2 linked regions of the Rattus norvegicus genome follow. The protein of the gene in region 1 binds, or shares a complex with, the protein of each later gene. Links are inferred from orthologs where the notes say so. Each region holds a gene or a part of one and is shown in the gene's direction. Other genes may lie near its edges.

What was found.
Region 2: the proteins of Tsen34 (region 1) and Tsen15 are in contact, whole or in part, in a crystal structure (PDB 6Z9U), measured with the Homo sapiens proteins. The link is inferred for Rattus norvegicus from reciprocal best matches to the Homo sapiens genes TSEN34 and TSEN15. Residues at the interface, in NP_001070914.1 of Homo sapiens: Pro251, Leu252, Arg253, Phe254, His255, Ala256, His257, Tyr258, Pro265, Glu266, Asp267, Thr268, Ile269, Pro270, Leu271, Gln272, Leu274, Ser283, Val284, Arg285, Lys286, Thr287, Leu289, Leu290, Cys291, Ser292, Gln294, Val300, Tyr301, Thr302; in NP_443197.1 of Homo sapiens: Leu70, Lys74, Trp76, Thr108, Pro109, Ile110, Thr111, Ala112, Ser113, Leu114, Ser115, His116, Asn117, Ile119, Arg120, Leu123, Leu141, Ile143, Val151, Tyr152, Tyr153, Lys154, Leu155, Thr156, Asp157, Gly158, Phe159, Met160, Leu161, Pro162.

The regions. Positions count from the first base shown.
Region 1 is NC_086019.1:74,436,986-74,440,964, reverse strand, and holds the start of Tsen34 (tRNA-splicing endonuclease subunit Sen34), read left to right. Parts: upstream 1-1,170; 5' UTR 1,171-1,315; exon of another isoform or gene 1,316-1,849; intron 1,850-1,974; exon of another isoform or gene 1,975-2,026; 5' UTR 2,027-2,030; coding exon 2,031-2,273; intron 2,274-2,423; coding exon 2,424-2,673; intron 2,674-2,805; coding exon 2,806-3,063; intron 3,064-3,979. UniProt on the Homo sapiens protein: Constitutes one of the two catalytic subunit of the tRNA-splicing endonuclease complex, a complex responsible for identification and cleavage of the splice sites in pre-tRNA. It cleaves pre-tRNA at the 5'- and 3'-splice sites to release the intron.
Region 2 is NC_086031.1:67,039,634-67,042,587, reverse strand, and holds the end of Tsen15 (tRNA-splicing endonuclease subunit Sen15), read left to right. Parts: intron 1-1,303; coding exon 1,304-1,445; intron 1,446-1,907; coding exon 1,908-1,928; coding exon of another isoform or gene 1,929-1,950; 3' UTR 1,951-2,454; downstream 2,455-2,954. UniProt on the Homo sapiens protein: Non-catalytic subunit of the tRNA-splicing endonuclease complex, a complex responsible for identification and cleavage of the splice sites in pre-tRNA. It cleaves pre-tRNA at the 5' and 3' splice sites to release the intron.

The DNA.
Region 1 (3,979 bases):
CTGATTCCGCCCCGGCAGATCCACAGGCGGTTACGCCACCCAGCCGGGCCACGCTCTGGGCGCTGTCCCCGCACCCCGCCACCCTACCGATCTTCGTGACGCCGTCATACAACCCAACCTGGGCCCACCTGAACCGTCCGCCGGGCAGAAGACTGCGGAGCCCCTTTTCGAGACCGCCTTGGCTCGGGCCACGCCTCCCCAGCTCAGCACGCCCCCGCACTGCTCGTTCTGGAGGGCGCCGGCAGGGCTGCGGGGTCCAGGCCCCGAGAGCCTCTGCTTTACGAGATACAGCACCGTAAGAAAGGAACCCAGAACACCAGTATGCCGCAAGATGCCGGTCGCGATCGTTCTAGGAGGCCCCCGGGCAAAGAGCTGCCAGTACGTGAAGGGGCGGGGTTTCGGGTCAGAGAGGCGGGACCAAGAGCTTCGAGTCTGGTTGAGACATGAGAAGGAGGAGGGACCTGGAGCTCAGCTTCGGAAAAAGACAGACTTTCAGCTTCGGATTCCTTCGGGCACACTCGGTCATTCAAGCTCACGGCGTGGAGGTGGGGCCACAAGCTTCGGCTTACTTCGGAGATAGCCGAGTTCTAAAGTCACCGTTCGGAATTAGATGCATTCACAAACTCGGCCGGATGTAGGCGGGGCTACACGCTTCGGCTTGTTTCGGAAATGATCGGGTCCAAAAGTCGTTGTTTAGTGTTAGGCGGGCTCTAGGAACGCAGCACGAAGTAGGCGGGACCGCATGCTTCGGCTTACTTCGGAGATAGTCGGAATCCGGCGACGTAGGAGAGTCAGATAACGGCGGGATGTGGGCGGGGTCACATATTTGGACTTATTTCAGATAACTGAATGCTTTTCAGGTCAAATGCCAGTGAGGGCAGAAGTTTTGGCCTAGCTTTGGAACTAGAGTGTCAGTAGACTTGGTTTAATAACAGGCAGAGCTAATAGCTTATTGAAACGTCAAGCCTTGCTGGCGAGAGGAAGGCGGAGCCACGGAAGACCGGAAAAAGGCGAAGGGGCGGGGCCTCCATAACTCATGGATTTAGGGGCGAGGCCAGATCAATGACCCTCAAGGTCCCACTTATGTAGACCAGAGTGGCGGTGAGGGCTCCCTTAGCTTTTCCGCTTTGCTGACCTGACGGGATGACGGAGGACGCGCTACGTAGGGCCAGCTCCGCCTTAATCGGGATTTGGTGTTGGCTAGGTGTTGACTTATTGCCTGTGCCCAGGGACAGTACGGCAGATTGAAGAGGAGCCACAGCGTGCACAGTGTGCGACTGTGGATTCAATCGTAGGCGTGAACTCCTTAAATTGGGTAGGAAGTGGGCGGGGCCACAACTGAAGAATGACCGGATCTGGCTAGGCTCGAAAGCCGAACTTCTTGCAACTTAGAGGGGGTGGCTGATTCGACTGAGCCGAGATCTCCCGCAAGCGTTCGGAAGTAGAGTCGAAATCTTCCGAAGGCTGAACGCTTGCTGTTTAGGGTGGGCAGGGCTCCCGATTGAGCTTTATTTAGGGTGCTGGAACATCGTACAGCTGGCGCAAGACAGGACTGGGTTTCTTTTAAAAAGCCCGACTCAGAATAGGCGGGAAGGGAGAATCTCAGAAATTCGAAAGGGGCGGGGCTGGGCTCCAACTATTTAGAAAAGGGTGTGGCTTGAGCAAACCTCCACCCTACATTGAGGTTCCGAGACCTGACGGACGCAACAGAAAGAAGATACGCACTTTGCAAAAAGGGCGGTGCACCACTATGGCGGGAGGTCTCTCTGAGGAGTTGAGATGTGGTGGCACGCATTGGCAGAGATGATGGTCACCTGGAGCGGAGGGGGAGCGGAACAGTGGGACCTGGGTGAGGGGCGTGGTCTTAACTGGACCGTCCCAGGGTAGATCTTGGCCTGGGTGCAGGTAGCAACCTTGGCCCCGCCCCCTGGGGGGTCATGGGCGGGGTCTTGCCCTGAGGGCTTGGACGACTTCAGTCCGGTCCGTGGAGCTGTTTGGGTGACCGCGACGCACCCCCACTCCGCAGGAAGATGCTGGTGGTGGAGGTCGCTAATGGCCGCTCGCTGGTATGGGGAGCCGAGGCGGTGCAGGCGCTGCGGGAGCGCCTGGGAGTCGGGGGACGCACGGTGGGCGCCCTGCCCCGCGGGCCCCGCCAGAACTCGCGCCTGGGCCTTCCGCTTCTGCTGCTGCCTGAAGAAGCCCGGCTCCTGGCGGAGATAGGCGCTGTGACCTTAGTCAGCGCCCCGCGTCCGGATCCCCGCAACCATGGCTTGGTAAGAAACGAAAGGCCGGTATATTGGGAAGGCCTGGGAGGGCCTGTTCTAGAAAGAGGCAGTTGGAAGGTTGTAAACAGGGTCAGAATTCCTGCCTTCCTAAGGGACTGCAGGCTGTGTCTTGGGATTCCAGCTAAGTTTACTTCTCAGGCCCTAGCGTCGTTCAAACGCCAGCAAGAGCAGAGTTTCCAGGATCAGAGCACTTTGGCAGCAGAGGCCCGGGAGACCCGGCGTCAGGAGCTTCTGGAGAAGATCGTAGAAGGCCAGGCTGCCAAGAAGCAGAAGCTGGAACAGGATTCTGGGGCAGATGAAGAAGGCCAAGAAGCCGGTGGAAGTGAAGCTACCCAAGGAAGTGAGACCAGTGATGATGGTCAGGCTTCTGCGGAGCAGGAAGGAGCAGGTGAGAGTAGGATTTAGAGTTAAGATTTGGGGCTGGAGGGAGGGAAGCTTTGGAGAATTTTAGCTGGGTTTTTCTGGGGATAAGAAGACCTTGTGGACTCAGTAAATTCTTCTGTCCCACCCCCACCCCCAGATTCTTCATCCCCCCAACCAGGACCTTCAAATGGGGTGACTCCCTTGCCCAGATCAGCCCTGCTTATCCAGCTGGCCACTGCCAGGCCTCGGCCTGTAAAAGCTAAGCCTCTGGACTGGCGTGTGCAGTCCAAAGACTGGCCCCATGCTGGCCGTCCTGCTCATGAGCTTCGCTACAGCATCTACAGAGACCTGTGGGAGAGAGGCTTCTTCCTCAGCGCAGCTGGGAAGTTTGGTGGTGACTTCCTGGTCTATCCTGGTGAGTTTGAGTTGGGGCTGTGGTGGCTGTACCTTTTCTGATGGTCTTTATTTGTTGCACATTTTCTCTTTTGTCCCACCTCTATGCCCAGGGAACCTAAAACAGGGACATCGAATATACCAGAGTTCTCTTGAACTCGAGGAGGATAGTTTTGTCAGAGACAGGTTCTCATCCCATAGCCAAAATTAGCTTGGAATTTGCTATGCTGCACAGGCTAGCCTTGGAATGCGAGGTCTTCCTTTCTCTACCTCCGAAGTGCTGGAACTGCAGGCTTGTGTCACAACACCTGGCTTAGTGTAGTAACTTTTTATAAATACTGCCTGTGATCTAGAAAGTGACTTAGAAATCCTTACATAATGTGCACAAAACATATGAGCCCATTCACTGCAGGATTAGTTATAGAATTGAAAGATTAAAAGTAGGGCTGTTACTGATAAGTTAGGAACAAAACAGAGTTATTAAGCTGGAAGAAATGGTGTATGCCTGTAATCCCAGCCAAGCTGCATAGTGAGAGAGCCTCAAAACAAAAGCCAGAACAACAACAACAGCAACAAACCAGTTGTTGCCAGGCAGTGATGGCACATACCTTCAATCCCAGCACTCAGGAGGCAGAAGCAGTCAGATCTCTGTGAGTTTGAGGCCAGCCTGGTATCCAGGCCAGCCAAAGCTACACAGAGAAACCCTGTCATGAAAAATCAAATCCAACAAACCAAAACCAAAAAACCTCCAGATGTCTGGGAAACAGTATTAGTTATCAAAGAATTAATGTGTAAGATTAGAGTTGGGTATTGTGGCACAGGCCTCTAGTCTCGGCTCTAGATAAGAGGAGACATAGATAGACTTATCTCATAGATAAGAGTTTGAGGCTAGCTTTGGCTACATGACACCTTAGCTCAACAAAGAAAAAAAAAAAAGA
Region 2 (2,954 bases), on another chromosome or scaffold:
TAATAACATGTTTAAAAGAGAGAAATTGTATAAAGTTGTCTTAACAAGGTTTTTTATTTCCTTCCTTCCTTTCCTTTTCCTTTTTCTTTCCGTCTCTGTCCTGTACTCATCATGGTTTGCCAGCTAGGGACACTTAGAGGAATTTACTTTCAGCGTGTCCACTGCGGGTTTTTGTGAGCGTTTACTAGGCTTTATGAATGGGAAAGAAGCAGTATGAGTGGCTAGGAGCAATGTTGCTGTTGCAGACGACTCTGGTTTTGTGCCCAGCACGCATATGGCAGCTGGCTGGTAACTGCAGTTCCAGAGGACCCAACACCCTCTTCTGTGGGCACTGCACACACATGATGTGCAGGAAAAACACTCACATACAGAAATTATTATTATTTTTTTTTTTGGTTCTTTTTTTCGGAGCTGGGGACCGAACCCAGGGCCTTGCGCTTCCTAGGTAAGCACTCTATCACTGAGCTAAATCCCCAGCCCCCAGAAATTATTTTTAACCAGCAATATTTGACAATTTAAACAAAAAGCATAAGGGGAGAATGGAATCAATTTTTGAGCGAGGAAATGATGCCAGAGGATAATGTGAATATAGAAATACCAGAAGTCTTGAGAATATTAAAGTAAGACACTCATGTGGTTCCCCCGATTAGGTTGAGAAAACAAAAGAACGAAAACAAACAAAACAAAAACCCCAAACCTTGCAACAGTAGGAGAATAATTGGGTCAGTAGGTAACAAATGGGGAGTTACATATGCAAAGGTAGTAGTATAAACCCTGTGGAAAAACAAGGGGTCATGGTTATTACAGTCCTTATTTTTCAGATATTTTGAGACTGGGTCTCACTGTGTAAGCCCTGGCTGGCCAGGAACTCTGTATAAACCTGTCTTATCTCTGATTTTCTGTGACTTTCCTGCCTCTGCCTCCCAGGCTGGGATATAGGCGTCTTCCATCACAACAGCCCTACAATCTGTTTAAAGTAATAGACCCCAGTGTCACTTGGTTCCAATAAGTTACCAACTTGGAAAATTAACATGTATGGTCCTTAGCCAATTAGATGAACAGCACTCTTAGGTCGTAGTTGTGTTCTTTGGGTTCCAGAATCAGCCAGTCCAGAGAGAGAAAGGACAGTGAGGATGCAGGCGGTTCTCAGGGCGGTCTGCGTGAGAAGACAGCCGCAGATGTGTTCAGTGAGCCTTAGCGTTTGGATGCAATGCCCTACCTTCCCCTCAGAAACTCCTACTGTTTGGCCTTACTGTTACTCAAGTAACCAGGACTCTCAAGCATCCTTTGTCTTCATTTCCAGGATAAGGGAAATCTTGAAGGCGTCTAGAAAGTTGCAAGGCGATCCGGAGCTGCCGATGTCTTTTACTTTGGCCATAGTGGAGTCAGATTCCACAATCGTCTATTATAAACTTACCGACGGATTTATGCTGCCAGACCCTCAGGTCAGTTTTGAAGTGATTGACCGGAAACATTAATGGGAGAGAGACCGAAACAGTAATGGGAGAGAGAGGCTCAGCCTGACCCCGAGTGTGGATCAGGCCACTCAGTTTCCACTTCCTTTGCCACGTGAGAAATTCAAGGCAAAAAAGGCTTGGTTTTTATTCCTCAGAATAAGAAAAGGCTGCATTTTCCTAGCTGTTTTTTGAAGAACTAGTTTGATTTTCCTGTTCTGTGGAGAATGTCCTATTTTTCCCAAGCATTTTGTGCATTCGTGCGTCTAAGTGAGTAACCGGAGTGAAGTACAAAGGCCAGTAATGGTTGTAGTAGAAAACACGGAGTTCCGTTCTGCCGGAACATTAGTTCGTGTCTGCGTTTGCTTGCTCTACATGTCCGTCTAGTTGGCATAGTCACGCTAAATATCTTTCTGATTGTACTCTTACCTATGCTCTCCTTCTGTGTTGCAGAATATTTCTCTTAGAAGATGACGGCCACCCTTCTTGGTGCTGATTTCATTCCTGAAAGATTGGATGCAAGGCTCATCAGCGTGCTTCGTCTTTTATCTCAGAGGTAGTCAGGGCTGACTTAGCTAGTCCCAACCCATAAACTTTCTTTCAGAACAAAACCTCGGATGGAAACACTATATTGCTTGCAAATATAGTTAGCCTAGAACTTTCTTATGAGAGACAGTACAGTCATGGGGGTTTACACCAAGGAGACGTTCAGAGTGGCGGAGGCTGGCTGTGTCTCTGCTGTCCCACAGCTCTAGTCGATAGGCAGGTATCCGTGAGCAGCATGGAGACAACACTACAGTAAGAGAAGGACCACAGCGTTAACGTGGCATGGATGCGAATGACACACCAGGCTGTGAAAGTAGACAATCAGATCACCAGCGATGGTCCCTGTAGGATGGCAGGGCAGCAAGTGGACTGCTTTCCTTCTCTACATTTCATTTGTTATTTGTATTAGTTTTATAATAAAACAGTTTAAAATAAAAATATCTTGAAATCTGAAGTAGTCATCCATCATTGAATGCTAAAGCTAGCAACATATAATAGCATATTTATGATCTTACGTTTTTATGGGCCAGTGATGCAGGCATGGCCTTGTGGGCTGTGGTCACAGCTGAGGTGCCACCACGATGCACTTCCTCTCAGCTTCCTACGCCTTGTGATGGGCTCTACCTCTACTGGAGTCCACATTTTGTGCCTTGCCCCATGGGTGCTTTTTCAAGGCTAACAAGAGAGCAGGCTAGACTTAGTGTCTCATGTGATGTCATGGGTCTTCTGTCTCGTCTGCCTTGTTCCTCAGTTAGAAGCAAGTCATGGTTCCCACCTACCCCAGAGCTCATAGCTCTTTAGGAAGCAGCAGTGACAGGAATGGGGAAAAAAAGGACAAGTAGAAACCTGACAAAGCCGGGTAGTGTGAAGGAGTGTGATGGGCTTTTCTTGGTCTGTAGTTGGCTTGCTCTCCCTTGACCATTCCCGAGACCTGCTCTATCTTGATGAAAGACG